2 linked regions of the Xenopus tropicalis genome follow. The protein of the gene in region 1 purifies or fractionates together with the protein of each later gene. This does not show direct contact. Links are inferred from orthologs where the notes say so. Each region holds a gene or a part of one and is shown on either strand. Other genes may lie near its edges. The genes, in order: dtl and cops5.

Region 1 (17,695 bases):
CCCCAAGAGACCTGTTTATCTTATTAGTTACAATTGTATCTAAGTGCAGGCGGGCCAAATTAAATTTGTGAAACTTTGTATCATTTTTGCGGTTCAGTGCAGGAGATCAAAGAGAAATGAGGGTCTTTTCAGATGGCACAGCACCTACTCGGTATATAGAGCTGGGGGGTGACAGTTGACAAGACCAACAAGAAATGATGTGCCACACCCATCAAACTGATGTTGCACCCTAAGATTTGCCCAGTGGCCAAACTAAACACCCATAAGACTGGGTGCAGAATTTGCAACTGGGCCCCACCACCCTCTTATCAATACCACACAGCACCTGCTGCAGCCAGGCCCATGATGGGGGGGTGGGGGGGGGGGCATTGGTGTAGTCATTCCCCTGCCCCATGGATTTGCAGCAACTGGTTGAAAAATCAGCAAAAAACCTTGGGGGGAAACCTCTAAATCTTAATCTGGGAACTCCCAGCATGCACAGAGACAGGATCCAACTGTAAATATTAAAGCTCTGTTGATTCATTGCCCCGGATTCATAGTGGTGCGGCCCGTTGTGGTCTCTCTGGAAAGTGATACTCGGCACAGAGCTGCGGTGACCTGCGCCGGCACCTTTTAATGAGTAACAAACCCAGCTGATCTCCATATTACATTGCAGAGATTTCCATTTAAACCCACAAGTGCTGAGAATGTTTATGTGTGAAACTGCCTTTTATTGCTGTGAAATAATTAACCCAGAAGGTGAGCTTTATTCCTCCATTTGTATGTACACACTGTGCCTGGAATGTTACATTAATGTACAGGAATTCCTAACCGAGCTCCATTCATATGCTTAATGGGGACGGAGAAAGCAAGTCAGTCATTTTGTAATAACGTGTCCAATTAACCCCCGTCCCACTTCCTTTCTAACCCACTTTGCTTCCAATTTCTCCTTGAATCCGGTCCAGCGACATCTTGCTCCACCCCTGCCAAAATCACAGATTCCCACCCTGGCCGGTAATAACATTGACAAGTGGTGCCAATCACTGTTCCCTCTAAGCTGTGCGCGTGTGCGCGCGCACACGACTTTCCGAACCCGCGCACACAAATTAAAATAGCGCGCACAAAAATTAAATTTTTGCCTAAAATGATTTTTGCCTTTGGAAATAACTCAGACGTCTCCTCGGTCTCCCGCCCTCGTTACCCCGGCAACAGGTACTTCTGGCTCCTGTCCGGTGCAATGTGTAGAGTGTCCGTGCGTACCTGCGCGCGTACTTGCCCACGTCTGGGGGGGGGGGTGCGCGCAAGGAGCACGTTCAGCACCGGACAGGAGCCAGAAGTACCTGTTGCCGGGGTAACGAGGGCGGGAGACCGAGGAGACGTCTGAGTTATTTCCAAAGGCATTGCGCTGTGGGAAGTGCTGGATGGCACGTCATGAGGACCAGGTAGGTGTATACAAGTATGTACAGCACAGTTACACTGCCATCCCAGCTAACATGGAGATTCTGCTTTGGTAGTGCTGGCTCAGCAGCAAACAAATCAATGGGGGATTAATAACTTTGGCATCAGGCTTCATTTTTACCAGCCAGGGGGCAACCGTAGTTGGAGATGTGGCATAGGCACACAATGTATAGTGAAGGTCCTTCACTGAAGGAATGCTAGGTGAGGGTAAGGTTGGGGGAAAGACAAAGTCCTGTCCTGATTTCTAAATGTGTAAATCCTTATAGGCAGTTTTCGCCCCAGCGAATTTTCATTTCAGAATGATCAATTTGCAGAATTAGCAAAATTGATGGACATTGGTGCCACATTCTTAGCTTCGAGTGCAGATTGTGAGCGTGGTTTTAGTTTAATGAACAATCTGAAAACGAAGCAAAGGAACCGTTTACAGTTTGGAACATTTGGAAATGCTGATGCGTATTAAAGTGGACCTGTCACCCAGACATAAAAAGTTGTATAATAAAAGTCCTTTTCAAATTAAACATGAAACCCAAAATAATTTTTTTATTACCACATCCATGCCCATTATAAAAGCATTTTAAAATCCCAGCTGTCAATCATATAATGCCTGCCCCGCCTCTATGCCTTAGGCATAGAGGTGGGGCAGACAGTTACTTTCACTTTCAATTCAGAACTTCTTAGATGTTGCTGCGCCCCTAACATTCCCCCTCCCTCCTCACCATGTAATTGTGTAACCAGTGCATGGACATGGGCATCAGGTCCCCCCATACTGGCACAGAAACAAGATTTTGGCAGGATGCAATGCCTGCTTTGATAACAGTGTCCACAAAATGGCCCCTGCCTGCTTGCTGCAATTGCTGTGAATTCCAAGGATGAAGAAAATAAAATTAAAATAATTTATACAGTGTAAGTAAAGTTTATTTTGCTTGCCAAACACAACAGAAAACAATTTGAAATTATTTCTTAAGGTGACAGGTCCGCTTTAAGAGTAACCTTCAAAATGGAGGCACGATAGATCTTGACAGAATTTATTCAGACTGGATAAATATGAAAGATCGCAGAGAAAAACTGTGAAAACTAAATTACTCTTAGTTTCGAAATGCTACCTATAAAATATAATTACACGTTATTAATAGGTATAGCATTTAACAATGAAACTTGTTTGAATAAACAGTGTTATTGATAACTGAAATAACATCGTGTTTTTGTAACTTGATTTAGACAAACTGAAAGACCTGCGCAAAAATGCCCATAACTGAACTCCAACAAACATTCTGTAGCGCACAAAAATTTAATCTTGCTTTAAAATGCGCACGGATGATATTTTTTGCGCACACAGCCTATAAAAAATTAGAGGGAACGTTGGTGCCAATGCCCCTCATAGAGATACTTCCCTCAGGCCACATTAGCTCCTGAATCATTTTCTTTGAAGAAAGGTCAGCCGACCAAAGCTTGAGCCATAGGGATCTCCAAAGTGACACAAGGGCAAGTGGGGGTTCTTTTGAGAGGTAAAAAGTGGGGAGGAAGAGCTTCTTGTCAGCGCCAGTAGCCAATGAGTATGCGGAAAGAAGAGAACATACGAGTGGTGTAAGTAGCAAAGGCAGAAAGATGTAAAGGGGAAATAAGGGAGCAGTAGGGTTGCCAATTGGCCCAGCCGGCCCAACCTAGGGTGGGTACTGGTATTATAAACATAATATATTTTTTTTTCCCCCCCAAAACCCATCAGTTAATAGAGCTTCTCCAGCAGAATCCTGCATTGTAATCTGTTTTATAAAAGCAGATTTTTTTTAATTTTGAAATGTCACATGGGGCTAGCCATATTCTTCATTTCCCAGGGTGCCACAGCCATGTGACCTGTGCTCTGATAAACTTCAGTCACACTTTACTGCTGCGCTGCAAGTTGGAGTGATATCAACTCCTTGGGCAAAAGGCTTTGTGGAAAGTATTATAAGATGAAGAAAGAAGAGATGATTGCAGGAATTCTGTGGTTGAACGTTGAAGTTGCAAATTAAACATTTCCCTGAATTGTACAATATATTTTTAGCTTTCACATTTCAAGTGCCGGGACTGATAGCAGGTTCAGCTCGGTGTTAATTGCACAATACAACTTGCACTGGAAGGCTTGGAGCCAATTAAAAAAAGCTAACAGTGTATTAGAATAAAGAGAAATCCTGCAAACTGTAACCATCTGGGGAACAAATAGGTGCCAGGCTGCCATGGCTTACACTACTGGCACAGATCACTCAACCTACAAATAAGCTTAAAGGGGAAATTTGTTGAATAGCCCCACACAACACAGAAACCTAGTATACCCATCACTAATCTGTTCCTTGAAAAAGTAGGAATAAATACCATTTTTATATGCTGAAATCCAGCTGCAAAACAGTTATTTTCTTTCTGCATCATTTGTGATCCTGGCAGGGGAGGAGGGACTAAAACACTGATGTTACAAATTGTAACAACTTCTCCACAGCTTACAGACAGCATGCAGGAACTACATAACCCACAATGCATTGCACTGTGATGTTCCTTTCCTTATTTACATCACATGGACAGGGGATTGTGGGATTGGGAGGAGGCAGGCAGGCTGAGGAGAAGCAACCAGTTACATTTTATTTCACAATGTAGTCAGTCAGCCAGATCAGCAGGGGAACAGGGGGTGGGGCTTAGGGAACTGTTCCAAACCATAGTATAATACAAACCATGAGATGGCTGCATATTTCATTGATGTATAATGCAAAGTTGCTCAAAATTATGTTTTTTCAAAAACCTTAAGCTGTGTTTGGATGGGGGGGGGGGAAATTAGTTAGGAATCTTCCAGTGATTATTGCTAATGCTGGACCCTGGGACGGCAAAAGCAAAGCATAGGTCCCCCACACTAAGCATATCTACTACACATAGTTCCCACGTATCCATTGTCGGGGTCCGGATCCAGTACATGTGCTGTATAGTAAAATATGTTGTTGCTTACACTGGTCTTGGACTACTGCAAGGAACCAGTGGGAAATTCAGTAAAATTGGTGCTGGGCTGGAGTCCAATGTTAGCAATCTCATTCACGGAGGGTTACCGGCCAGTGAATTGTTACTTTATTTGCCCTTTAACCCTGTCAGTACAGAGCAGTGATCAGCAATAATTAGTTGCTCCCCACCGCCAGTAGCATCAAAGCAAGTGCTCATTTCTTAGCTGCTGCCATGGTGGCAAGTTTTGGATGCATAAGGACCAGGCCCAGACTGGCAATTTGTGGCAAATACCAGAGGCAGGGGCATTCTGACCCCTAGTGGTGCCCTGAGGCAGTCTATGGGATGCCACCCCTCCCTCACCTCTTTGCACCTCAATCAATAGTGATTTCTGCACTAGCAGAGCCAAATTCCCCAGACACTGCTGCAAGATGCAATAGACATTGACTTTATTGGGCTGGTAGGGGGGGCTGTTTGGGCCTTGAAATACCAGTCCAATATCAATCAGTCCATTCCTGATAAAGACCAATGTGTATTGCCAAACAGAGCCTACCCCCCAGCAATAGCTTTTGTGGCTCTCCAACACTTTCTACATTTGAATGTTTATTTACAGGTAATTAATGTTGGGCACCCCTGGTATACAGTGGCACAAAGCCCATTCTGCTTTCCCAACACCACTACACCAGATACCAACTCCAACAGTCAACTGGCTGGTCAGGTAAATACCCAGCACTACCTTAGCCTGCTCTCTATATTCCTACTACCTAAATATGAAACTTTAACCCCCATCTAAAATGGCCTTACCTGCAGGGTGGAAGTTCAGATCAGTCAGCGATATTCTCTTTAATAAAGATTTAGCGAAGACACCCAATGTTAAAGCACAATATTACATGATAGAATAGACTCTACGGACATTAAATACACAGAACTACCGAATTATAATCTGTATTTAAAAAGTTATATTTTTACAATATGACTCAACTATACATACACATAAAGTATTAAAATATCAAAACTATTTACAGAGATTTTTTGCCACCCTTCCCCAAACACATTGTTAACATTCGCTCCTGGGCAGATCTCCCTATGTAAGGGATGTTAAAGGCAGTTCCCTTGGACGATTAGTAAACTAAAAATAATTGATTGTAAAAACCCACATTTAGTGTCCTATGTCATGGAAAAAAGTGCTAAAATGTTAAATATATAAAACATTCTCTATGGAGCAAATAACGAAGCAGCAACATGTACATCCTTGTGTGAAACGGAACGCCGCGGAACATACAGGCTCACTCTTACTCGGATTTCTTAAAGAAGTAGGTGCAGATTTTTCTCATTGAGCCGGGGGTCGTTGGTACCTATATGACAGAAGAGAGGGAAACCATTGATGCTTAGCAAAAACGGCATCACATTCAGCAAACTGCAATTTATTTATATACTGGAAAATATATAGAAAAATATATTTAATGTAGCAGAAAATGCTACTTGCTGATTGGTTGCTATAGGCAATAAATGTAGCAAATTTTGCACCATATATTAAATAACCACCTTCGTATCAGAACAAAATATTTATTGGTGGTGCACACAAATGTCCGTATGTAATACAAGGCAATAAATGCCCAGGAGCAGTAACCCAAAGCGACCAATAAGATGCTTGCTTTTAGGCAGTAAATGGTACCTGCTTATTGGTTGTTACAGTTTACTGCTTCTGGACAAACTTACTCCCTTTACTACATAACCCCATTAGTGTAGGGGTCACTTGTGAGTTCCCCAATGTGAAACTAATAGCAGGGCAATTCAATTTGTATTTAATTAGTTTAACATAGGAAACCCAACAAGTTTCAACCTCCACAAACAAGTGGGGGTTCTTTGTCACAAGAATAACAAAAAGCAGGCATGCATTTTGTTGTGCCCTGATGAAGACCCCTCTTGTTTTTTGGTGGGTCAAAACATCGAAGTTTCTAAGCAAACAAACTTTTTTTAAAACTAAAGTGCCCTGTTATTTATTAATTAGTATCTGACAAATGGTGTTACCATGCCCTACCCACACGATCCATACAATCCCATCTGTATATTTTGCATGCCCCTAGGTCCCAGCTTCCATGCCATCAGCAAACAGCCCACCTTACAAACTATTGAGGCTATATAGTTGGACGGCTTTGTAGTTTTATCATTTACATGGTTTATTTGCAGATTTCCCATTACTGGGGTGCAGAAGAGCTGTCAGCTTAGCCAATTTTAAACGAAATGGCTAAAACAATTGCTTCTCCAGCAGCATCTGGTTGGGCCCGGCTCAAATAACGATCAGGCAGATCCCTCTATGTGAGCAGATCAGCAGCCCGAGCCAATCAGATCAGCCTGATTTGACCAACCATAGGGTCTGGAAACCAAATCACGTTGCCTTATTTAATCTTGCCGACTGATCTATAAACCAAAGCATAAGTAGACAAAGCGTATCAGCCCCATAAGACAATTCTGTGCAGCCCCTAAGGATAATTTAATGCACTGTATAGCAGAATGATACTTACAGATACTGGTGAATTGGGAGCATTCCTTGTCGGATGTTTTTTAGAGGTGCTGTTCCTAGAGGAGGGGCTGCTGGCAGCTTTATTCTGAGGGGAAGACTTGTCCGACTTGAATTTGTGCCCTAAAGCAGAGAGCCAGTTTTTCTCTGGGGAACTGTTTTCTTTGTCTCGCAAGTCACTTTTCAACTCAGACAGAGGACTTAGAGGGGGGTTAACTGTACCATTAATAAGGAAGGATGTTGACGGACCGGGAGAGAATTCTTGGTCAAATCCCCTACTCAAGTCTGAAAGCCTCAGGCATTTATCATCGCTGCCGTCTCTCTCTTTCTCACTGAAAGAACACAAGTCCAGTTTTGCTTTCTTCAGCCCAGGCTCCAACTCCATCACACAGTTGCAATGGTCAAGGCAGACATGTTCCACATCTTCGCTGCTGGTTTCCAGGCGCCTCTTGGCCCTCTTCTCATAGGGCATCTGTACCCTTGTACTTGATACGCTTGGGTACTGCTCCACGGGGGTGAAGGCTTTGCGGGGAGAGGGTGTCTTTGTATCAGCCCGTGTGGATGACTTGGGAGTGCGGGTGATCCAGTCCTTAATTGAAATTTTTGAAGAGGACGTCTGTTTGGGAGATGCTCCTAAACCCTCGCCATTCAGCCTTTGTGGAGTCTGCAGCTTAGGAATTGGCAACAAGGCAGATACAGGAGTGCTGGAGGGCATTGGCAGGTCTCCCGTGTAACTTGGGGCACACGTGGCTGGTGTTGGGGAAGACATCAGGGAACTGCTTGGTATCATTGAAGGCTTCCCAGGCGTACAGAGGTTTGCGGCTGAAGGAACAAATGAAAAGAGATAAGGCACTTACGTAAACTTCTGGTGGTCTTCATCATTTATTTTCTATAGTTGTTGAATTATTTGCCTTCCTCTTTTACATCTTTCCAGCTTTCAAATGGGTCCAGCAGCCAAAAACTACTGCCCTGTGAGCCTACAATCTTATTGTTACTTCTCATTACCACCTTTCTAGGCAGGCCCTCTACTATTCATATTCCTGTCTCTCACTCAAACCATGGCCTGGTTTCTAAGGTAAATAAGGCCCTAGCTACCAGATGTCTGCTGAAAAACCAAACTGGAGAGCTGCTGAACAAAGCTAAATAACTCAAAAACCATAGTAAATAAAAAAAAAAAGACCAATTGCAAATTCAGAATATCAACATCTATATCATACTAAAAGTTAATTTAAAGGAAAACTACCCCTTTCATTAATACAGCAGCAAGGAAGCCTAAAAAAATTGCATTTGGGGTCAGAAAGCGACATGTCACACATTCCCATCACTATTCTGGTCACCAGCAGGAGCCCCCAAGTACTCATTACAGACAGCTGGCCCCTGTATTAGGTGCAATCTCCTGATTAATATCTTATCTGTATCTAAATTCAGGGTTTCCAACCCATACTTTACCCACTGGCCAAATGACTAAATTGCTATACAGGTGGTTTCCCAATACAAATAAAGGATTGTAGACCCTTTTCACTTCCACTGCTATCAAGGCCTCCATCCAAGGCCCCAAGGGCTCAAACTGGCAGTATTTTTTTGGCTCATGAATGCTTAAGGTCAAGCAAATCTTCCCCACATATATTTATGGCCAATTATGTGGCTCATAGGTGTAGCTAATACATGTGCTAAAAGCAGAATGTAAAAGATACCTTAAGAATCTGGAATGTTTGTTCAGAACTGAGATGTATGATGAAATCTATGTTCCTATTACATTGCCATTCGATAGTATAATTGGGTACTAGTGGCAGCACCGAACACCTAGTCAGTTACATAATGAGAACCTTACCCATAGAAGGCGGTACACATTTCTTTTGGCAGGCCCAACCAACAGTTTCGGTTTTATCCGACTGCGCAGAGTCCTCGCTACTTCTCTTCAGTCTCCATACTCTCACGGTGTTGTCATCAGAGCATGTGGCAATCTGTGTGAGAGGCAGGGAATGACAGTCAGACCAGGAGCCAACAAAAGTGAACATGGGCAGAGTTCTGTCACTGTGCAAGTGGGATCTTGTGGGTTTTGTGGGCTCCCTCACCAATAATTGGTAACAGCCTAGTGTGAGACTTTGCCATCAGCCATCACAATGCTTTTTAGTCATTTCAAAGGAAACCGTCAACCATTATTTAGGATAATGGCACATTAGGCGATTCAAGGGGTTTTGTTGCCTGCCATATGATTTCTAGCTTTACGGACACACAACAAAAAAACTTATAATTCAGTGGGTAACGCCGGACCTTTGAGTTAACCCCTGGGCGCAGGTTAACACCGCTACCAAGTAGTGAAGTGCTGGCCGGCCCAATACCTGTGGGACCCTTGAGAAACGGCCTGGAGGGGCCCGAAACATTGCTTTGCTTGTATGTACTTGGGCAAATAGACACATTTTTGCAGGGTTTAAATTTACAGTGTGCTACTGCATTTTTTTTGCTATTGCTGGACGAGTTTGGCCTCTGCACAAGATTTTCAGGTCGCGGGCAACCTTACACTTTCCGGTTCCAAGCTCTCTTTTTTATAGACGTGCCCCCCCTTCCCTTTTGTGACATCAGTGGGCAGGTTGGGTCTATAGAGGGGACCAGCCAGGCTTGGTACGGCTCGGGTTGGGAGTAAAACTCGACCCACACAAACACTGCACCCAGTTTACCCTCACCCTTTATGATAAAATCAGGCAAAAACAAACCTTTGTAAAGTCTGACTGGCACCAAGCTACAGAGGTGACTTCTTGACAATGTCCCGTCAGGGTGACAGGGGGAACCTTGGGATCAGACACCTGAAACAAAAGAGAAACTCTTCACAAACAAATACAGGCCGGAACAGACAGTCATGCAAAACAAAGGTGCTGATGTTCCATTTCCCTTTGGAAGGAACAGACATGCACATCTAACAGAATGCTTTAAAAAATATAACAACGTTGCATAAATAAATTTGTGTCTGTTACAAAACAGATGTTTTAAACGTCTTTGAAATGTTATAATTATGAAATGACAGTATTTCTTCAGAACTTCATCAATCTACCCATGGGCAAAGCATTGTATAACTACCACACCATGGAACAGCATATAAAGAGTATATAATTATGGGATTTGTTACCCAGGAATGCTGGATAAGAGTCTATCATTAATGCCATACCTTAAGGCTGCTGAGAACAACTAGAAATAAATCAATAGGATGGCTTTGCTATCAGACATGAATCTATGCCGGCTTAGTTATCAATTTGTCACGAGTTGCTTAAACCAATGGGGAATGGCACTTATATTTCAGGTTTCTGGGTAACTGATATCATGCCTGCACTCAAAATAACAGCATAGAATGGTATTATGAGAATGGAAGACAAAGCGGTGTTGGATTGCTCACTATGAAGAACTCTGCAGTTGCAAGGGTTCAGAACTAACCAATTGCTAGTGAACCACAAAAGCTAAAAGAACAGATGTCTGCATCAAAACAGGAAGCTTAGCTACATATCATGAATTGCGATCACAATGGTACAGATCTATAACAATTTTATAGAAACCAATCTGGGGTAAAGACACATTTGCTAGACATTCTTAAACCCATCCTTATGATAAAGTAATTATGAGGCTACAGTTGTACAGGGGTGTATGGGGACCCCCTAATGCAGTGATCCCCAACCAGTGGCTTGTTCGTAACCGGTTGCTCCCCAATCCCTTGGATGTTGCTCCCAGTCGCCAGGAGGTGCTTATGTTTAACCCTTTAAGTGCCAGCCGAATTCGTCATTTCGGTTCCCCCCAGTGCCAGACGTTTTTTAAGCATTTTGTACTCATTCACTTTAACAATGTTTTTTGGTAGGAAAACCTCCATGAAACTAGGGAAATTATATATCGTTTTTTTCGTCACTAATTGGGCTTCGACATACATACCAAATTTTATAACTTTTCTGGAGATATGATGTGTATTTTGGGTGAATTATGTAAAAAAAAAAAAAAATTATGAAAAATTTCTGTATATTTTGAGTTTTTTTTCCATAGAAAAGTTAATTTTACAAACTTTTTTTTGTTGTTTGTAAAAGCCCTGATACTCCCAAGTCCAACGATACCAAATATGTGGTGGTACCCCACAGTTCCTGTCCAGAAGTAACCCCCAAACTAAAGCAATACTTAGTACAATATCACACCAGAACAAAGCGGAAAAGCGCTTGTAACAGTTGATGCAGCATAACTTATATGTAAATCTAAAATATCCCCTCATGTTTGGTATCTTTAGAAACTACAGACCTTCAGGTTTCTAGGTGCAATGTAGTTTTCACTAAAAAGCCAAATACCTTTTGTCAGTGCATTGTGAAATTTGGAAGTTTTTTTGACATTTTTTTTTTTTTCTAAAACGTAAACTTGGACGCATGATCAAATGTGGATTTGACAAAAAAAAATCTCATAAAAATTTTCTAACAAAGGCAAATTTGAAAGACAAATTTCTACTGAATAAAATGATGCCCCATATGTATGGGTGCACATAAAGACATGGGCACCAAACAATCCAAAGCAGGGGCAATGCACAAGGGCAATTACAGCTAAAAATGTGGGTGCTGTGCTCTATGTGCACTACCTGCAGTTTTTCAGTGTTAACCCCCCCTACTTGTGAAATAACCCCCACAAACTATATATTTCTGAAAAGTGCACACCTTCAGCTATTCAGAGACACCACTCTTCTCTTTCTACATAGAAAATTGTGGCCGCAGTCCCTTGCAGAAGTCAGCGCTTTGGTCAGAAATCGAGGAAAAAACTGATAAAAAACCTAGATTTCTCCCCAAAATCTCCATGGCAACTACCAAAAACTTACTAAACATCAATCTGCAAGTTCCCCTGAATAAAACAATACCCCATATGTATGGGTGCACATAAAGACGTGGCCACCAAATGCCCCAAAACAGGGGCAATGCATAAGGGCAATTTCAGTTGATATTTTGGGGGCTGCGCTCTATGTGCACTTCCTGCAGTTTTTCAGTGTTAACCCCCCCTACCTGTAAAATAACCCCCACAAACTATATATTTCTGAAAAGTGTACACCTTCAGCTATTCAGAGACACCACTCTCCTCTTTCTACATGGAAAATTGTGGCCGCAGTCCCTTGCAGAAGTCAGCGCATTGGTCAGAAATCAAGGAAAAACCAGATACAAACCTAGATTTCTCCCCAAAATCTCCATGGCAACTACCAAAAACTTACTAAACATCAATCTGCAAGTTCCCCTGAATAAAACGATACCCCATATGTATGGGTACACATAAAGACGTGGCCACCAAATGCCCCAAAACAGGGGCAATGCATAAGGGCAATTTCAGTTGAAATTTTGGGGGCTGCGCTCTATGTGCACTTCCTGCAGTTTTTCAGTGTTAACCCCCCCTACCTGTAAAATAACCCCCACAAACTATATATTTCTGAAAAGTGCACACCTTCAGCTATTCAGAGACACCACTCTCCTCTTTCTACATGGAAAATTGTGGCCGCAGTCCCTTGCAGAAGTCAGCGCATTGGTCAGAAATCAAGGAAAAAACAGACACAAACCTAGATTTCTCCCCAAAATCTCCATGGCAACTACCAAAAACTTACTAAACATCAATCTGCAAGTTCCCCTGAATAAAACGATACCCCATATGTATGGGTACACATAAAGACGTGGCCACCAAATGCCCCAAAACAGGGGCAATGCATAAGGGCAATTTCAGTTGAAATTTTGGGGGCTGCGCTCTATGTGCACTTCCTGCAGTTTTTCAGTGTTAACCCCCCCTACCTGTAAAATAACCCCCGCAAACTATATATTTCCAAAAAGTGCACACCTTCAGCTATTCAGAGACACCACTCTTCTCTTTCTACATGGAAAATTGTGGCCGCAGTCCCTTGCAGAAGTAAGCGCATCGTTCAGAAATCAAGGAAAAACCAGATACAAACCTAGATTTCTCCCCAAAATCTCCATGGCAACTACCAAAAACTTACTAAACATCAATCTGCAAGTTCCCCTGAATAAAACGATACCCCATATGTATGGGTACACATAAAGACGTGTCCACCAAATGCCCCCAAACAGGGGCAATGCATAAGGGGGGGGGCTGTGCTCTACCTGCAGTTATTTAGTCTAAACACCCCCATACCTGTGAAATAACCCCCACAAACTATATATTTCCAAAAAGTGCACACCTTCAGCTATTCAGAGACACCACTCTTCTCTTTCTACATGGAAAATTGTGGCCACAGTCCCTTGCAGAAGTCAGCGCTTTGGTCAGAAATCAAGGAAAAACCAGATACAAACCTAGATTTCTCCCCAAAATCTCCATGGCAACTACCAAAAACTTACTAACCATTAATCTGCAAGTTCCCCTGAATAAAACGATACCCCATATGTATGGGTGCACATAAAGACGTGGCCACCAAATGCCCCAAAACAGGGGCAATGCATAAGGGCAATTTCAGTTGAAATTTTGGGGGTTGCGCTCTATGTGCACTACCTGCAGTTTTTCAGTGTTAACCCCCCCTACCTGTGAAATAACCCCCACAATCTATATATTTACGAAAAGTGCACACCTTCAGCTATTCAGAGACACCACTCTTCTCTTTCTACATGGAAAATTGTGGCCGCAGTCCCTTGCAGAAGTCAGCGCTTTGGTCAGAAATCAAGGAAAAACCAGATACAAACCTAGATTTTGGTCAGAAATCAAGGAAAAACCAGATAAAAAAACCTAGATTTCTCCCCAAAATCTCCATGGCAACTACCAAAAACTTACTAAACCTCAATTTGCAAGTTCCCCTGAATAAAACGATACCCCATATGTATGGGTGCACATAAAGACGTGGCCACCAAATGCCCCCTAACAGGGGCAATGCATAACGGGGGGCTTTGCTCTACCTGCAGTTATTTAGTCTAAACACCCCCATACCTGTGAAATAACCCCCGCAAACTATATATTTCCAAAAAGTGCACACCTTCAGCTATTCAGAGACACCACTCTTCTCTTTCTACATGGAAAATTGTGGCCGCAGTCCCTTGCAGAAGTCAGCGCTTTGGTCAGAAATCAAGGAAAAACCAGATACAAACCTAGATTTTGGTCAGAAATCAAGGAAAAACCAGATAAAAAAACCTAGATTTCTCCCCAAAATCTCCATGGCAACTACCAAAAACTTACTAAACCTCAATTTGCAAGTTCCCCTGAATAAAACGATACCCCATATGTATGGGTGCACATAAAGACGTGGCCACCAAATGCCCCCAAACAGGGGCAATGCATAAGGGGGGGCTTTGCTCTACCTGCAGTTTTCAGTGTTAACCCCCCCTACCTGTGAAATAACCCCCACAATCATATATTTACGAAAAGTGCACACCTTCAGCTATTCAGAGACACCACTCTTCTCTTTCTACATGGAAAATTGTGGCCGCAGTCCCTTGCAGAAGTCAGCGCATTGGTCAGAAATCAAGGAAAAACCAGATAAAAAACCTAGATTTCTCCCCAAAATCTCCATGGCAACTACCAAAAACTTACTAAACCTCAATTTGCAAGTTCCCCTGAATAAAACGATACCCCATATGTATGGGTGCACATAAAGACGTGGCCACCAAATGCCCCAAAACAGGGGCAATGCATAAGGGCAATTTCAGTTGAAATTTTGGGGGCTGCGCTCTATGTGCACTACCTGCAGTTTTTCAGTGTTAACCCCCCCTACCTGTGAAATAACCCCCACAATCTATATATTTACGAAAAGTGCACACCTTCAGCTATTCAGAGACACCACTCTTCTCTTTCTACATGGAAAATTGTGGCCGCAGTCCCTTGCAGAAGTCAGCGCTTTGGTCAGAAATCAAGGAAAAACCAGATACAAACCTAGATTTCTCCCCAAAATCTCCATGGCAACTACCAAAAACTTACTAACCATAAATCTGCAAGTTCCCCTGAATAAAACGATACCCCATATGCACATAAGTACATGGCCGCCAAACCTGAAAATGCATAATATTGGGGCTGCACTCTATGCACCCCTTTTTTTTTTGCCTGCACCCGAATGAATGGAATACGCTCGGGTGCAGGCACATGTAGCCGATATACGCATGAAAACGCGTGAGAATGCAAAGTCTCGCGTTTTCATGCGTATATCGGCTACATGTGCCTGCACCCGAGCGTATTCCATTGATTCGGGTGCAGGCACAAGTAGCAGGCGTAGGGCTGAATTTTCGGCAAGCGTTTTTCCACTTGCTGAAAAAATCAGCCCTACGCCATGTGTGGCATCAGCCTAACCCTTGGCAATAGAAACTACCAGAACAATCTTAGCACCTCTGGACCTTTCTAGAACAACTGAAATCAAATGAAGTTAAAATGGAATAAAACCACTAAAAGCAATCAAAGAACAATAATTGCAATGAAATCGGTGATCAGAGCCCTGGATCCACCAATGTCACTGCAAAAGCAACCTTTTTAGGGCACTAAATACACAATAAAGAACAATGCAAAGATAAAACACCATAAAATCAGTAAATTCAAATAAAAACCGCTCAAACCAACAGAAGAACAATTATTGCAATGAAATCGGTGGTCAGAGCCCTGGATCCACCAACGTCACTGCAAATTCAGCACCCAATAGCAATACAAAAGTTACAGTGCAATAGAATAATTCAAAAACAGAAATCAATTATGAAAATGCAAAAAAACACTAAAATGCAACCAAATAAATCAGATAATTATAGAGCAAGATCAGAAATAAAGTTTTAGTAAAAAAAAAAGACTGCCAGAGAAAGCAAAGAAAGAAAGAAAAGAAAAGAAAGAAAGAAAAAAAAAAAAAAAAAAAAAAAAAAGTGTAAGTGTAAGTGTGTGTGTAAGTGTCTGTGTGTGCTTGGGAAAGTTGTAAATAAGTGTGTATGTGTACAAAAGTGTAATAATGACAAAGATAGAAGAAGAAATAGAAAAAAAAAAAAAAAAAAAATTTTAGACAGTTGAGATAGAAATAAGCAAAATAAACAGTGGTTAGAGAGTTGTAGTTCAGCTTACACAATGCAGGCAGGCGATCAGGGCGACCAATCTGGCAGGAAGGCAGCAGGGGGGCTCCAGCAGTCTCACGTGGCAGCAGAGTGAAGAGGCGACGGCGGGGGCGGCGACAATTAAAGGGACAGCAGTGGACACGTCATCAATGCGTGTCCACTGCTGTCATTGGCTGAGGACCCGGATCGGCGGCGCTGGGGGACCCGGATCGGTAAGTATGACCTCTTGTGCTCGTTGCCTAGGGGGTTGTGCAGGCTTTACAAGCGCTGCGCTGCTTTAAAAGCGAGCGCAGCGCTTGTAAACCCGTTAGTGCTGTAGGACGTAGATTCTACGTTCTATGGCACTTTGGTCCCTTGGTACCTAGGACGTAGAATCTACGTCCTATGGCACTAAAAAGGTTAATTCCTGGCTTGGAGGAATGTTTTGGTTGCATAAAAACCAGGTGTACTGCCAAACAGAGCCTTTTATAGAAGATATTCAGCTGAAACTGGTCATCTAAATTACACCCCAGGACAGCGGAAGGGGTGATTAATAAGATAAACCCCTCCCTTGGGTGATGATTGGGATCCACATGCCAAATAAATAAAACATATAAGCAGGCAGTACATATATAAAAAGAAAATCATAAGCAGACAGTAAAAAGCACAATGTTATTTTGAAGCAAAAAAAGTTTGTGTGATACTGCTCTTTGCAGCATCAGAAACAGTCAGAATCCTTATTTCATTGGCTAAACTTTATCCCCATTAGGAAAGGTGATAAAACCATTTCATTTGAGTCATGTGAGCTGAATAACCAGTGAGACAGGAGAAAGTTGTTGTATTTATTGGGCTCATACTGAACATGGTCAACAGGTTTATGTCGCCTAATTAATGGTATAACTGCTGGTTTGTACATTATTGCTGTTAATGTTCTGCTCTTTCTACAGACGCTCACAGGCGAGTCATGTGGGTAGCCTAACAGTTCAGTCTCCCCTCCATAGCATTGGGTACTAGCCAGAGGCTACATAACTTAATCCATTACACTTAGGCTGAAGCCACACATAGCAGCTACTAGTAACTCTTTTATCAAGGCTACTAAACTCCAGAACATACCCTGCCATAGACAATACTGAGAATTGCCTCTGCTAAAACCCATGTAGAGACAATTATCAGTAAATGATCAGCATTGTCTTTTTTAGTAGCCACGACAAGTAGCTGCTACTAGTAGCTCTGTGTGTCTTCACCCTTAGAGCTACAGCATCAACAGATAATCATACCCCACCATACAGCAGAGGCAGTTTGAACGCTACTACCCAGCCTTCACATTGGTGTATATCTCATGAAGGAAAACATGATATTTGAGCTAATTTTTTTAAAATAGGCAGTTTACAGTTAACTGTTAAAGACCTACAACATAGGGCATCAGGAGTCAGTCTGGGGTATAATGCAAGCACCACTCCCACTCCAACAAACAAGTCAGAGATCCCTCTCTAAAGGGATGAGTAATGATGCCTATTTCTGAGTAAGAACTGCCCGAAGCACTAACACATGCATATGCGCTTTCAAGAATCTCTTAAAGGAACAGCACGTCATAAAAGATATTCTGAGAATGCTGATCGGCGAAAAGAAGACAGGCAAATTGTACAAAATACAAAAGAATAGCTAAAATTTGCAGGTCTATTTACTCCTGTATGACCTAGTCTCAAAAACATTTGGCAAACAGTCCTTCATAGAGAAAAAAAGGCTGATAAGATTTAACCCTTTCCTTCAATCCTTACTATGCATGGTAAATGGGAAA
Region 2 (16,378 bases), on another chromosome or scaffold:
TCCAAAGGTGAATGTTAATGATATTTAAGTTTCATATTACTTTTAATTGTAATTTAATCATTACTTGGCATATAACAAGGGTAAGATTATTATGGCTTACATCTACTTGCTTTTAGCCAAATATGAGACAGATCACACAAACAATGAAAATATGCACTGTTCCACTCCAGGCTAACCTCACTGCTGGATATATAGTCCATGTAGCAAACACTCAATTCAGTACATTCATAGGGTCCTTCACCTTGTTTTACATGTCTTTCTAAAACTTTATGGCAAATGAACATACTCCCTTCCCTGGTTTAATGACACCAGTACATTTTGGCATAAAAGATACAAAATCAATACTTGTCACTATATGAAAGTAGCTACAAAATCATGACACTTCCTTTTTTGGTTGTGCCATATATTTGTCCTGGTGAGCTACAACTCACTCAAACACATATTTACTTAACATTTAGCTGATGTGAAAAATAAACAGGAAAAAGTAAAGTAAATCAACTCCTTGTTTTGCAATTCTGATGGATGACCTTCTTGTTGTAGGGCTATAAACCTCCAGATGAGGGTCCGTCAGAGTACCAGACGATTCCTTTGAACAAAATAGAAGATTTTGGGGTGCATTGTAAGCAGTAAGTAATTTTGTAGTGGAAACATAAGAAACTAATATATTAAAAAGGAATTACAAGGCTAAGAAAAAGACTCTTAAAAAAGAGTCCTAAGCTTCATAGTATGGCTTATAGGCAGGGCACAGAGCAATTTTATGGTATATCCAGTTCAATTACAGGCTGTGAATCTTTGCATGAGTATATATATTAATGTATGCTTTACAGTATCTTAGATTTTATTTCACTCTCCTTATAGCTGCCAAACATGCATTAGTATCTTAGATGTATGTAACATTATTGGTATTGCACCTAAAAACTGTGTTAATTTTTAATTCCTCTCCTGTGACCCTAGATTTAAATGTCTTTAGTTAAGCTCGTCATTTTTTTATTGGAAGGTAGCTATGATCTAACATTTGTCTTGTGTTGGGTACCTTCCTAAATGTTACTCCACCTGGGGCAGTTTAAAAACATTCCATCCATTGGCCTCTGCTTGCTTCTCCCTTTGTACTCATATGCACTGTGTTAGCTGGGTACAGATGCACAGAGTGGATTTTAAAATGCATACTCGCATTTTTGCACTGAAATCTGCTCTGTGTGTCTGCACCTAGGCTACAAAAGTGCCTGTCAATGCAGACAGAGGGGTGAGCAGAGACCAGCAGAGCATCTGTTTGTAGGCCTGTGTTTATACGCAGGCCAGGAAACAGCTCCGTGTTGCACTAGCCATATTATAGATTGTCATACAATTTTCCTAAACCACAAGGAATACTGTCATAGGAAAACATGGTTTTTTTTTTCAAAATGCATCAGTTAATAGAGCTTCTTCAGGAGAATCCTGAATTGATATCCGTTTTCAAATGCACAAACAGATTTTTATTTATATTTAATTTTGAAATTTCACTTGGGACTAGCCATATTCTTCATTTCCCAGCCAGACACAGCCATGTGACCTGTGCGCTGATAAACTTCAGTCACACTTTGCTGCTGCGCTGCAAGTTGGAGTGATATCACCCTCCCCAGCAGCCAGTCAGCAGAACAATGGGAAGGGAGCAAGATAGCAGCTCTCAGTAGGTATCAGAATAGCACTCAATAGTAATAAATCCAGCTTGGATTGGGATGGGAGTAGGAGAAACAATAGGTTACCTGAAAGCAGTTCTAATGTGTAGTGCTGGCTCCTTTTGAAAGCTCAGACTCGGGCACAATGCACTGAGATGGTGCCTACACACCAATATTACAACTAAGAAAATAAAATAAATTTGTTGGTTCAAGAATAGAATTTTAAATGGTTGAGTGAATTATTTGTAAACAGTGTAATTTAGAAATAAAAAGTATACCATAAAAATCATGAAAGTATACCTTTAAGAATATGATTTCTGTTTGCTTGGACATACCAATCTTTTGAAAAAGATTCTTAAACAACTTCTAGGTCCTTGCTTGAACTATAAGTAAACTCCAGGTTCATATCTGGTTTATATAATTAAGTTTATAAACAGCTCATTGCTTACTGTATATCCTTCCAAACTCTAATCACGTCATCTGTGTAGCGCCATCTTAGGGAGACACTCCCTAAGCTCCCATGGGTATTCCGTTCCCAGTAACCCAAGAAAGGGTTTATGTAGCTGAGAGTAAATTGTTTCCCCCTGGCCTAAAAATAATGCCTAATGGCTGCACAACATCATGTTTAATGGATGTATACAGAGTTGCCAATAACATCCTCTTGCCATTGTATTGTTTCCTTTCCTTTAATTTGTATTGAATCCTGCAAATACGAGAGTAGGAGTGATAGGCTTTTTATTTGGCCAGAGAAGTGTAGTTCAGCCTATGTGTAACAAGCCCTTCCCTCTAGGTAGAAACACGGGAGGAGTGTTTTACACAGGGTAGCTTCCCTATCACAGTTCGAGCATTTTCTAATACACTGCTAATAAGAGGTAATTCTAAAGCAGTGTCTCCATTTCTGTAGCAGTGTTTATATGTATGTACAAGCTTAAACCGGCAACCTTAGTAGGCAGGAAGATATTCTGGCAAAAATAAAAGGTATTGCTAATTTGTAGCCCCAGTCTGTTAAATGTATTTATGATGTCAAGCATTTTCTTCGCTAAGCACTTTGGAGTGGAATATGTGTGTTAATATTGGGTCATAACATACTACTATACTACATTTTCTCTTCCTATAATTGTTTTTCCTTATTTTGCACGTTTCCCTTTTGCCTACTCAGAAGGGGGCATTCCAGTCTTAGAATTTGGATACGCATTGTACAATACAAATGTAATATTATCAGAAAAACATTTTTGCTGTTCTTGGTGACTATATTTAGTCTATATGTCCACTTTAATCATTCACTTTAATCATTCAGGAAATAATTATAAAGATATTCATGGCATTGTTGATTATGTATTATACTGTTGACAACATCCAGCATTAACCCAGCTAGTGGAGGTGCTGTATGTTGTAGCCTGGAAACAGCCTGATTGGCAGCACTTGTGCATGTATTCCTGTTATGGACTATATTGTCAGTTTTAGCCCACTTTAGGGTGTTCTCCACTGTGTGGCTATATAAGTTAAACTCTTGCTACACAGCCCACTTTGTCAATTAAACCAAACATCAGTTTCTTGTAACACAAGAATTTTTTGTATCATTTAAGGTATTATGCCTTGGAGGTTACATATTTCAAATCATCTTTGGACCGAAAACTTCTTGAGCTGTTGTGGAATAAATATTGGGTGAATACACTGAGTTCCTCTAGCCTTCTGACAGTAAGTAAGCCACCTGCCTGATTATAACTCTCTCTCTCTAAAATGTTTTCTCATTTTTGCAAATGGCTGTTATAGTAGATCTTATCTGGCTGTCTCCAAGTAAGCTACACCATAAATAGATCACATGCTCATTTTAGATTTAAAGCAGAAGGAAAGGTAAAAGTCACTGGGGGGTGCCAAATGTTAGACACCCCCCAGTGATTGTAATCACATACCTGATACCCCCGGCTGATGCTCCTGTTAGGAGAAAACTGCACCAGCCAACAGTTAATGCAAGTGATCCTTTTCCTTCTCCTCTGACAAGATCCCGGACCCCCAGACCCGCACATGCACAGTTAAGCAAAAAGCTGTTTCGGGTTTTTTTTTGTTGTTAGTTCAGCTATTCATTCCATTGCAAATGCTCGAAGAAGGAAGAGAATCTATTCGTTGCCTACACCCCGGAGGTGCAGTTTTCTCCTAACAGGAGCACCAGCCGGGGGTTTCAGATAAGCAATTACAATAATTGGGGGGTGCCTAACATTTTGGCACCCTCAGTGATTGTAATGTTCCTTCTCCTTTAATAAGGGATGATTCTGAAACAAAGTGTCTCCATTTCTGTGTCAGTGTTTATACACATGTACAAACTGGCTGGCAAAATATAGGCAGTGCAATTTTTTTGCCCAAGCCTGTGATGATGTTAACACAGGTTATACATTTTTTGTTCACTGCAACGTGGGGTACTTGCCCCCCCCCCTTTGCCAACCAAGGCTTTGTAATTTGAAGTATCGCAGATATGTTAGCTCTGATACAAGAGTTCGAATCATAAAAACAGATCTTTCGAGACCTGGGTGGTTTTGATTTTGGAGTGGGGGTACTTAGTAATGGTAACTAAAAGTGTGTGTGTCAGTCCCAAAATAATAGATGGAGTAGCTGTAGAGAGAGTCCGCACTCACAGGTCTTAAGAAAATATAGAGGTTTTATTCAAATCAACATCTAACGTTTCGGCTGCATCCACAGCCTTTCTCAAAGACAATGTGAAACAAACAATGGTGCACTGAAAAAAACGAATTTGGCGCCAAACAATGACGTCATAGGTGTGAATACATTAGCATACAGTGTGAAAAAAACGCTATCAAAACACATTGAATCAACAAAAAATGTTAAGATAATATGGATTAGGCATAGAACACAAACAAAAGGACTGTCAGGGGAAAGGAAAAGTGGGTGTGTATTAAAAAAGCCCGCATATGTATCTAGTGCTGAACTGCAACTCACACATGTCGCAAAGACATCCCCAAGTTATAAGTTTATAAATGTACAAAATCGAACTGGCCCAAGGAATAAGAAATAATGAGGGACAGTAGGGCAAATATACATCAAGGAGTTGCTGAAAATGAGTAACTAACATGACTGTTCTGTGCAGCATGTATTGCCTGACATGACTGTCAAATAATGCATTATATGGTGTGCCTTATGGGGAATCGGTCCGCTTATTTGTAGTAAAGCTAGGACAAGGGGAATAGAAGAGGCAGATGGGAAGAAAAGTAGTCAAAGAGAAAGATGTAGAATAGTAACTGAGGAGAGACAAAGTAGAGAGGACAGAGTGAGGTAATGAGAAAGGAAAGATGTCGGTGCGATGATAAAGGGCGTCACACTGCCCGAAACATGTTGTGTTTTTTGGTCTGAAATAAATAGCATTTTAGCAGAAATCTGCTTTATGGTGCTCTCCTCTATATTTGGATTGTATTGAATGGCTCAGCGGTGTGCCTTGCGAGGATTGATGCATCAAGCCTGATCTAAGGGCTGTGCGGTTGAATACCTATTTGTTGTCGGTGCGATGGTATGGCCGTGGGAGGGGACTCTGCACTCCATACAGAGCAAAAGCAACGGCACCGATTAGTGCGTTCGCTAGCGTGGAAAGCCGATCAGTAGTACTCGACCATCACCAAGAACATTATAGACGCGACTCTCCTTTGCAGGTGCTGTCAGGTGGCGAAGGGCTCAATACTATGGGAGACAGACATTGATGTAAAAGGCAGCGGGGTTACTGGTATGCCAGAGTAGGGAGACTAAAAGGTATCATGTCATTCTCAACGTATCTTGGACGCAGGTACCAAAGGAGGGAAAATTTCTCAAAAAGGATAAATATTGTGGCAGAATCAAGCCCAGGTTGTAACGCACGGATGGTGCGATCATACGTCACGAGGAACCTCTATTGTTAAGGTCCATTGGACAGTATTACGCACACTATTGCACCGTGTGTGTTGTATAGGGCATCAACAATAAAGTGTTTATAAAAAACAGTGTCATATGTAATTCTTACACAGTTTGTCACGGATGGTGCACCCATACGCACAAAGAGACCCCATATGTAATGGGTCCTGTAAGCAGTACTTAGCACACTATTACACCGTGTGTAGAAGTAAATAAGGCATGTGGTCATATCACTGTAGGAAAGATGGTTCATAGTGGTGGGACAGTTGATCGGCAGCGTGAGTGGAGAAAAATAGGCGACAGAAAAAAGAAGAAATACAGGAGAGAAGGGAAAAAGGAGGAAAAGCAAGAGGACAAGAAGGAAGTGGAGACAAAGGGAAAAGGGAGTAGCCTATAGTCCTAGATACCGGGCTGCGGGTGACACACGGGGAGGGGAAAACTGCAAAAGTCAGAAGATACAGATTAAAACAGAGAACAATCTCAGAAGAGAAAAGTGGCCAAAAAGGCAAATGTCAACTATGTATCAACAAATGTTGCAATGAGGTCACAGGATATAACAGAGAGATCATAGTAGCATAACATATATAGTATGTAACAATATCAAACGGTCATTTCAAGTAAAAGGAAGAATATGAAACAAGTTCATTGAGGCCGTAGGGACTCACAGTATTCAATTTATGCATCCATTTTAGTTCTCTTTGTAGTAACAAGTTCTCACGGTTACCACCGCAGACAGGAGGAGGAATATGATCAATGATCATGCATCTCATACTAGCCAGAGAGTGTTTATGAGCAAGGAAATGCGCTGCAACTGGGGTGTCAGCCTTATCATCAGAGAGTGCAGTCCGGATTGCGGAACGATGATTCGCCATACGATCCCGGAATGTTGTGATGGTTTTACCAACATAAAAAAGGCCGCAGGGGCATTTGATGAAGTACACAATATATTTTGAGGTACAGGTGACCCTATGTTGTATAGAGATGTTCCGACCGGAATGTGGATGATTGAAAGTCGGACCTGTCAACATGGAACTGCAGGTGATGCAATTAGGACAACTATAGCAACCCAGTTTGGTGGAAGGTAGCCAGGAAGTTGTATGAGACATCTGATAGCAATGTGTAGGGTCCGTTTTTACCAGTAGGTCCCTAAGACTGCTGCCTCTTTTGTATGCAATGCGAGGTGGAGATCTGAAAATTGGAGGGAGTGTCCGATCTTTTTCGAGAACTGACCAATGGTAAAGGAAGGCATTGATCAGTGGCTTCTTATCAGGGGTAAAGGTAGTGATGAAAGTGAGACGATCATCCTGCTTGGTGGGGGTGCGTGGTTTGTTAGAATGAAGAACTTGTGCTTGCGTGTGCGAGAGGGCTCTCTCTCTGCTGTGCTCCAATTCGCCCGAAGGATATCCACGTTGCAGGAAACGAGATTTCAGATCGTCTGTCTGTTGAAGTAGTGTGGTAGGATCAGAGTTGTTTCTCACCATTCGCATCATCTGTGAGTATGGGATGCTTTTCAAAACATGTGGAGGATGACAGGATGCGTGATGCAATAAAGTGTTGCGATCTGTGGGTTTCCTATATGTAGAAGTAGTTAAGTGTGTCCCCTGTTTTTTTCACACTGTATGCTAATGTATTCACACCTATGACGTCATTGTTTGGCGCCAAATTCGTTTTTTTCAGTGCACCATTGTTTGTTTCACATTGTCTTTGAGAAAGGCTGTGGATGCAGCCGAAACGTTAGATGTTGATTTGAATAAAACCTCTATATTTTCTTAAGACCTCTCTCTACAGCTACTCCATCTATTATATATATATATATATATATATATATATATAACAAAGATAAATCATTTCAGAACTTTTTCCATCTTTAATATGACCTATAAACTGTACCACTCAATTGAAAAACAAACTGAAATCTTTTAGGTGGAGGGAAGGAAAATAAAAAAAAATAAAATAATGCGGTTGCATAAGTGTGCACACCCTTAAACTGTTAAATAAGGCCCCAATTCCAGCTGAAGAAAAACAGCCCCAAAGCATGATGCTGCCACCACCATGCTTCACTGTGGGTATGGTGTTCTTTTGGTGATGTGCAGTATTGTTTTTGCGCCAAACATATTTTTTGGAATTATGGCCAAAAAGTTAAAGTTCAACCTTGGATGTTTTTCTTCGTAAGAAAAGGCTTTCGTCTTGCCACTCTACCCCATAGCCCAGACATATGAAGAATATGGGAGATTGTTGTCACATGTACCACACAGCCAGTACTTGCCAGATATTCCTGCAGCTCCTTTAATGTTGCTGTAGGCCTCTTGGTAGCCTCCCTGACCAATTTTCTTCTCGTCTTTTCATCAATTTTGGAGGGATGTCCAGTCCTTGGTAATGTTGTGGTGACTGTCTTCACTGTGTTCCATGGTATATCTAATGCCTTGGAAATTCTTTTGTACCCCTCTCCTGACTGATATATTTTAACAATGAGATCCCTCTGATGCTTTGGAAGCTCTCTGTGGACCATGGCTTTTGCTGTGGGATGTGACTAAAAAAATGTCAGGAAAGAACAACTAGAGCTGCTGAACTTTATTTGGGGTTAATCAGAGGCACTTTAAATGATGGCAGGTGTATGCTGACTCCTATTTAACATGATTTTGAATGTGATTGCTTAATTCTGAACACAGCTACATCCCCAGTTAGAAGAGGGCGTGCACACTTATGCAACCACATTATTATAGTTTTTTTGGTTTTCTTCCCTCCACCTAAAAGATTTCAGTTAGTTTTTCAATTGAGTGGTACAGTTTATAGGTCACATTAAAGGTGGAAAAAGTTCTGAAATGATTTATCTTTGTCTCATTTTAGTACAGCACAGGAACCTGACATTTTACCAGGGCTGTGTAGGCTTTTTATATCTATATCTGTATATTAGTGTGTGTGTGTGTGTGACAGCCCCCCCCCTCCTCCCCCCACAGCACCACATACATAAATAATTGTTGCAGCATATGAGTAAAGAAGCGGTTCTTCATTCTTGCTTCATTATTATTTTAAATAGATCTGCAGAACAGTTAGGGCTTTGAGATATAAGGCAGTCTGCTAAAAAGTAATAGTTCAGCAACACCTTGAAGCCTACAGGTTGCTTTATAAATTAAAATTGTACATACATAAATAAATCTTGTAACTAGAAGTGTAATGTTAAACTTCCTGCAAAGAAATTGGATATGGAATTTACTTCTGACAAGGTGTGGAAGCTTGTATTCTTGTAATATTTGTTTGTGTCTTTAGGATCTTTTAATTGTTTCCCTTTTATTTGCAGAACGCGGATTACACAACCGGACAGGTATTTGATTTATCGGAGAAATTAGAGCAGTCTGAAGCCCAGCTTGGTCGAGGGAGTTTCATGCTTGGATTAGAAACTCATGACCGAAAATCTGAGGATAAACTGGCAAAAGCAACAAGGGACAGGTAATGTATCAGAGCTGTTTTTGTTTTGCCTGGAAGGATTCGTTTTTAGATGCAAGAACTAAGCAAATAAAAAAGTTTCTTAATGTTAAAAACACAAACCATAGAAAGTTAGTTGCAAGCCATTCTTAGTTACTGATAAACTTCAAATAGTTTTATGCAAACATTCTTTTTCTTTGTGTTGTTTTCCAGCTGCAAGACAACCATTGAAGCCATCCATGGATTGATGTCACAAGTGATTAAAGATAAATTGTTCAACCAGATCAATACTGCCTAATGTTTCATTTTGCAAAGATTCAAGATTGGCTGTCTGTCTTGTTCAAATAAGTTGCTTCTTTTATGCAGAGGCCAGAGATTTTCATCTGGGTTGCACTTTTTGTTTGTTTAAACCTATGGAAAGCAAAGGACATTTATTGTGACATTCTTGAAATATTCCCATTTATTGGATTGGAGCTCTCTAAGTAAATACAATATTTTAAACTGTCTTATGTTTTGTTTTTATTCTTGTTTCCTCTGTTGCACTTTGTTTCATGAGAAATGTTCCATGGCTGATTGTAAAGTTCACCCTTTGAGCACTTCATAGACCTCTTTAATCTGGAAACATAGTGAGGTTCATTACAAATATATAGCCAAGACCACATGGATGATTAATTTGATTCAGTATCACTGACAATCATCGGTCTAACTAGAGAATGTATATGGAGACCTGAAGAGCGCTTCTGAAGACATTGTTTTGAGATTTTGATTTTACCCTATCCATTTAGGCACAAGGTTTATCTGTGCATGAATATTCACTCTGTGTGGGTTCTCTGTTTGGTTATGTGTGTTTAAAGGAACAGTAACATCAAAAAATTAAAGTGTTTTAAAGTAATTAAAATATAATGTGCTGTTTGCTACAGAAAAGCTACTATATAAATAAGCTGCTGTGTAGCCATGGGGGCAGCCATTCAAGCTGGAAAAAAGGAGAAAAGGCACAGGTTACATAGCAGATAACTAGTAGATAAGCTCCATATAATGGGGGGTTATCTGCTAAGTAACCTGTGCCTTTTCTCCTACTATAGTAGTCTTTATAAGGCAAACACACCAGTTCTAGCAATGCAGGGCAACAGTACATTATATTGTAATTACTTTTATACACTTTCATTTTTTGGTGTTACTGTTCCTTTAAGCAGCTTGTGAGGACCAATGGGAGGAAGGTGCATTACCAGAGAATGGAAAATATTTGATCACTTAAGATGTATTAAAATATAACTGACTGCATGATTGTACGTGTTTTGGAGCAGTATGGATATGCAGTGCTGGATGTTCAGAAGTGCTCATAACAGGTACAAATGTAGTACAGAGGCTGCTACTCTGCAGAGCTCGGCAGGTGAGTAGGTAAAGCAGAGACAGATAAATGTTCTATCCTTTCAGTTATTGCAGAACTACAACTACTGATACCCCTTCATCTTTTGTGCTTAGGACAATTCTAAGGGGCAGATTTATCAAAATATGAGAAAAGCTCACCACAGAAAAATTCACCCACTTTGTATTCGTTCCTATGGGATTTATAAAAGCATATTTATCAAAAGGCAAACTCTAACTTTCACCTATTGATAAATACACTTCTAAAAATCCCATTGGAATGAATAGAATGTGGGTGAAGCTTTCTGTGGTGAGCTCTTATCTCATATTTTGATAAATCTGCCCCTAAGAGTAGTTCTGTTGCATCTGAATATTGGAGCTTGCCTAACACTAGGGTAGAAGTTGACTCTCCGATCCAAACAGTAACCCATTCACTTGGGATGTTGGCCCATAAGAGCATAACTTAATGAGCTATGCCAGTGCTCCCCGTATCAGCAATCAAAAAGCAAGCCACAACAGAATTGAAAGCTTTGAAAAGCTTTGAAAGCCTTTTTTTTCATGGCTGTGTCCTAAGAGCACCTAACACAATGGTTGCTTTTTTGAGTTTAAGCTCCAGCTTATGGACTGGGCTTCCCTTTCATGTACTACTTTGGTCACAGCCCCTTTAGCTTGTGAAATTGGTACACTTATGGGTGTTGCTGTATCAGTTATGAATCTGTTTTTCGAACAATATTAAGGACAGCAAATATATTCACCCCAAATCAGTGTAGAACCTGGAAATACCTGCCACTGGTTGGGATTCCTTCTCCTCTAATCCACTCTCCCCCCTCACTTGGGAATTTACTTTGGCTGTTGCCTAGTGAGCATGCTCAGTTCTTCTTTACCTGGTTACTAAACATTCCTTCAAGTCTAGCAGCCAGTGAAATTATAGTATTGCTGGTTTCCATTAAAATTCAACTCTGGCAGTGCCCTCTGCTGGAGGAGTATGTTTTTTCTCCTAACCTCCTGTCCTCAGCTCAATTTAACCATCACAGTGCTCATTCCAATCAGAACTTTTTATCAAAGTAAGTTCTGCCTGTGCAAGCTTGCATTCTTTGTTGCATGAACTTGCTGTTTGCATATAAATATTTGCTGTTTGCAGTAAATATCACTGATGCGTCGGAGGGGAAAATGGCTGCCGGTTGAAAGCTGCTAGCTGTATTAATGAGCTGGCAAACAGAGGGGGGGTATATGCAGTTCGGGTTGGGGAGATTTGACTAATTTATAAACATAGTAGGAATATATATTCAACAACCTAGACAGCTTGTTAGTTCTTTTCACAGCCCGCCTATCCTATTGCTCTACCATTCTAAGCCAGTAATACATCACCATTCATTTTTTTGTTGCTCTCAATTTTCTTAAACACAACAAAACCACTTTTTTTTTTTTTGTGAGTGGACAGAACACCTTCACACTGTTGGAGGCAGGATTCATTTTAAATGGCTAGGTCCTACCCTCTATCTGGCAGAGGCAAAGCTGGGCCATGTGTACTGACATGTCGGGAGTAGAAGAAATGGAATTTCCGACAAGGTTAGTGAAATTCTCTTTTTCTTCTATAGGTAATAGATGGCCTTGTGTCTACTGTAAGGACTTACTGGTAAATAAAGCATTAGAGAGATTTTTATATAATTCTCTTATATTTATACATAGTTATTTTATCTCCCCTTAAAGGAACAGTAACACCAAAAAATGAAAGTGTATAAAAATAACTAAAATATAATGTGCTGCTGCCCTGCACTGGTAAAAGTTGTGTGTTTACTTCAGAAAGTCTACTATAATTTATATAAATAAGCTGCTGTGTAGTATGGGGGCAGCCATTCAAAGGAGAAAAGGCACAGGCACATATCAGATAACAGATAAAACACCACTGTATTCTACAGAACTTATCTGTTATCTGCTATGTAACCTGTGCCTTTTCTCCTTTTTTCCAGCTTGAATGGCTGCCCCTGTGGCTACACAGCAGCTTATTATATAAATTATAGTAGAGTTACTGTATCAAACACACCAGTTTTACCAGTGCAGGGCAACAGTGCATTATATTTTTATTACTTTAAAGCTCTTTCATTTTTTGGTGTTACTGTTCCTTTAAGCACCACTTCTCCAGTGTAAATGGCAGTCCCAAGAGACATTCCATTCCCTTTACTAGCTTAGTTGCCCTTCTTTGGACCCTCTCTATTTTATTAATAGCATCTTCATAAAAAGCTATTAAAGCTTTGACATGACCTCTCCTTCATCAAGCCTGCTGATTATTTGATTATTACCTGCAATGCTATATTCCAACTTAATCATTTAATGTGATTCCTTACTATTGAAGAATGAAATATCTATTTTTTAAACCTGTTTAATTGCGTATTTTTGGGACAGGAAAAAAACGTAATTGAAAAATTGGTAAAATAAAAGCAACAAAAGCAACATGAGCATAATTTTTTTTTCTAAACCTTTGATCAAGTTTCGGCAGCTTATCGGCCCATGTAGGGGCAGAAATGAGGGGCCTGCCCGACCGATATCTGGCCTGAAATTAGCCAGATATTGATCGGCCAGGTTAGAAAATTCATTCAGATCAGGGACCGCATCGGCTCATTGATGTGGTCCCCGAACCGACTGCCCCATTGCCGCCAAACGATCAAATTATTTTTTTTTTACCTACACGCTCCCCCGTATTGTCAACCTGTAGGTGGGGATATCGGGTGAAGATCCGATCGCTTGCCGATCTCGCCGAGTGAGCAAATCTCTATGTATGGGGACCTTTACTTGCTTAGTATCTATCAGTAGTCTCATTGATAAACTAAGACTATTAGAGGTATTACAAACTAGTCTAACATATGTTCACCCATGTAGATTACCCGAGGTGAGTACTGTGAATGCCGATGTTTACAGAATGTGCAAACATTTAGCTTGGAATGTGTTATGAAAAGACAAACAAGGCTCATGGCAGGCATAGGATGGTGGCAGGCAAATAGGCTGATGCCACACGAAAAAACGCTTGCTGTAAATATCACCATACGCTCTTACCTGTGCATGCACCTGAACAAATGAGACATGCCATACGCTCAGTGCAGCATTAGCCTTAAAGGAGAAGGAGAGGGTTTAAAACCCATACATAGATAGGCCACATGTACCTGTAGCTGATAGCTACATGTTTTCACCTTTTTTGCAGGTACTTTTAGAGCACTCGCTGTTGCATCTATTGCAGCCGCCATGTTGGATATTTAAATTAGTCCAACATGGCGCCGCGCAAGTTAATGCGCATGCGCAAACCTTCTCCCTCCCCTAGACACGAGCGCAACCTACTCTACCTGAGCCGCTCGAGATGGAAAGTGTGATCACAGCATAAGTTAAATGCACATGCTCTTACTCAGTAGCTGGTCTTAGTCTCGGCGCAGGAGTGATGCATTCTGGGAATCTTCTTTACACAGCTCAGCGGTTTTTCTTCCTGTTTGGCTTCTGATAATCTGAACAGGCGAAATATGGGGAGACTTAAGGGGACTATTGAGACAACTGAAGGTATGCCTGCAGCTTGAGATTAACTCTTTATAAGCCTTTCCTTCTCCTTTAAGGCTGATGCCACACACAGCGTATGGCGTATATTTCCGGCAAGCGAAAAAAACGCTTGCCGAAAATATCGCCATAAGCTCTTACCTGTGTTTGCACCTGAACGAATAAGATATGCTTGGGTGCAGGCACATGTGGCCGAAATACGCATAAAAACGTGAGACTTTGCATTCTCTCGCGTTTTTATGTGGATATCGGCTACATGCGCCTGCACCCAAGCATATCGCATTCGTTCCGGTGCAGGCACAAGTAGCAGACATATGTTGCGTATGGTGCATATACGCCATACGCTCAGAAGCAGAAAGCGTCGAGCTGCGAAGCACACTTTAGCACCAAGAAAAAGAGAAGCACACTGCCATCCAGAGGGACAAGGAAGGCAGTAGCAACGATTAATAGAGGCACTGACAAAGGCAAACACAAAGCGGGTTGTAAAAGTAGCAGAAAGTCTTGCTGACTGCACACATCACTGCAGTGTTATACAAGGGGTGGGACACGAGCAGCCAATAAGCACTTGGCAGTGAAGGAGTAAATCAGCTTCCTTAACAATGATATTGGCCACAGAAAAGTGCCAAAGGCAAGGAGATCGCCCTAAAGTCCTGTTTAAGGAGGTTTAGGCCGATGACACACTGGCGTAGTCCCAGCAAGCTGAAAAACGCTTGCTGAGAAAACGCCCTGCTACTCTACACTTACCCTACCTTATGCCTGCACCCTAATGAATTAAATACGCTTGGGTGCAGGCACGTGTAGCTGATATTTGCCAAAAAACACGAGACTTCGCATCTACGGCCTCATTCATTCGGGCACAGGTAGGAGCGTATGACGGTATTTTCGGCAAGCGATTTTTGGCTTGCCGAAAATATACGCATACGCTGTGTGTGGCATCAGCCTAAGGATGCTGGAAATGAAGACAGAGCACCAACAAATCAGAAGTAAGCAGAAGACAATGCACAACCTTATACTTCTAAGCAAGGGGCACCTACGTTCCAGGACAGATACTACAGGAGCTGGGTAAGTTAAACTCTTCAATACCATGTCTAAAAATATCTTACTTACCTGCTGTGCAGAGATTAAAAGGTGTGAACAACAGAGGATTACATTTTTAAACAATACAGGGGGTTTACAGGCTGAATCTGAGGTGTGAGCAATGCAGGGGGCCAGTTAATAACAGTACTGATACCATTTAAAGCTTACACAAGAGTAAGCCATCAAAGCAGCCAGACAGGTGGGAGGCCACACAGATGGGGGCCGCGGGCCGCATGCTGCCAGTTAGACAGCACTGCTCTAGAGAAAGCTGCATTTGGCAATGAAGGAGGAGGAAAAACAGAGTGGCTGCAGCAAAGACTGGGGGGATGAGGAAACGCATAACAGAAGCCCCACAGAAAAAGTGCTGGTTGGATGCCGGGGATATAGTGGATGTAAATAAGCATGTGGTACAAAACATTAGTGCTAACAAAATTAACAAAGTGTTAATTATATCATAAATTAATCATCTTTTGGAATTCTAAACAGTGATATTCACCCATGGCAATGTGCTATACAGCACTGGAATAAATTAAAAAGTGCTAGTGACAATATATTAATATCAAGATGGAGGTTAACCAAATAACTCTCGAAAACCAAGAACTTTTGTTTTAAGAAATTCTCAGAGTGTCTATTGATGACTCTGATATTGTTCTAATTGGCTACAACTTCCTTATAGCCAAACCTACACATCTAACCCAAATGAAAAAGCAATTACAATCCAAATACATAGGGCCCTTGTCCATCTAGCAGTTGACCTGTGCTATATGCATACTTCATACTGCACATTTTGCACAACCCCAGAATTATTTTAGAAGAATTACACTAAGGGGCACATTTACTAACCCACGAACGGGCCGAATGCGTCCGATTGCGGTTTTTTTCGTAATGATCGGTATTTTGCGATTTTTTTGGAAATTATCGCGACTTTTTCGTTACCAATACGATTTTTGCGAAAAAACGCGAGTTTTTCGTAGCCATTCCGAAAGTTGCGCAAAATCTGGCGATTTTTTCGTAGCGTTAAAATTTGCGCGAAAAGTTTTAACGCTACGAACAAGGTGCGACTTTTCGCGCAAGTTTTAACGCTACGAAAAAATCGCCAGATTTTGCGCAACTTTCGGAATGGCTACGAAAAACTCGCGTTTTTTAGCGCAAGTCGTAATGGCTACGAAAAACTCGCGTTTTTTCGCGCAAGTCGTATTGGTAACGAAAAAGTCGCGATAATTTCCGAAAAGTCGTAAAGGCGCCGAAAAAATACAAAAAAGTCGCAAAATGTTCGTTTTCCAATCGGAATTTTTCCAATTCGGATTCGAATTTGTGTCTTAGTAAATCAGCCCCTAAGGGGCATATTTATTAAAGTGCGGTAAAAACGGCGTTATAACACAGAAAATTACGCTGCCGTTCGCGGCGTAAAATTCGGCGTACTTACGTAC

What was found.
Region 2: the proteins of dtl (region 1) and cops5 purify together in Homo sapiens (affinity purification with mass spectrometry; 6 studies listed by BioGRID and IntAct, with this or other methods). This does not show direct contact. The link is inferred for Xenopus tropicalis from reciprocal best matches to the Homo sapiens genes DTL and COPS5.

What each region holds. Positions count from the first base shown.
Region 1 is NC_030681.2:14,717,052-14,734,746, forward strand, and holds the end of dtl (denticleless protein homolog), read right to left. Parts: intron 9,718-17,695; coding exon 9,628-9,717; intron 8,878-9,627; coding exon 8,745-8,877; intron 7,736-8,744; coding exon 6,918-7,735; intron 5,748-6,917; coding exon 5,685-5,747; 3' UTR 5,322-5,684; downstream 1-5,321. UniProt on the Homo sapiens protein: Substrate-specific adapter of a DCX (DDB1-CUL4-X-box) E3 ubiquitin-protein ligase complex required for cell cycle control, DNA damage response and translesion DNA synthesis.
Region 2 is NC_030682.2:119,198,983-119,215,360, reverse strand, and holds the end of cops5 (COP9 signalosome complex subunit 5), read left to right. Parts: coding exon 1-7; intron 8-540; coding exon 541-626; intron 627-3,241; coding exon 3,242-3,353; intron 3,354-8,844; coding exon 8,845-8,993; intron 8,994-9,182; coding exon 9,183-9,267; 3' UTR 9,268-9,474; downstream 9,475-16,378. UniProt on the Homo sapiens protein: Probable protease subunit of the COP9 signalosome complex (CSN), a complex involved in various cellular and developmental processes.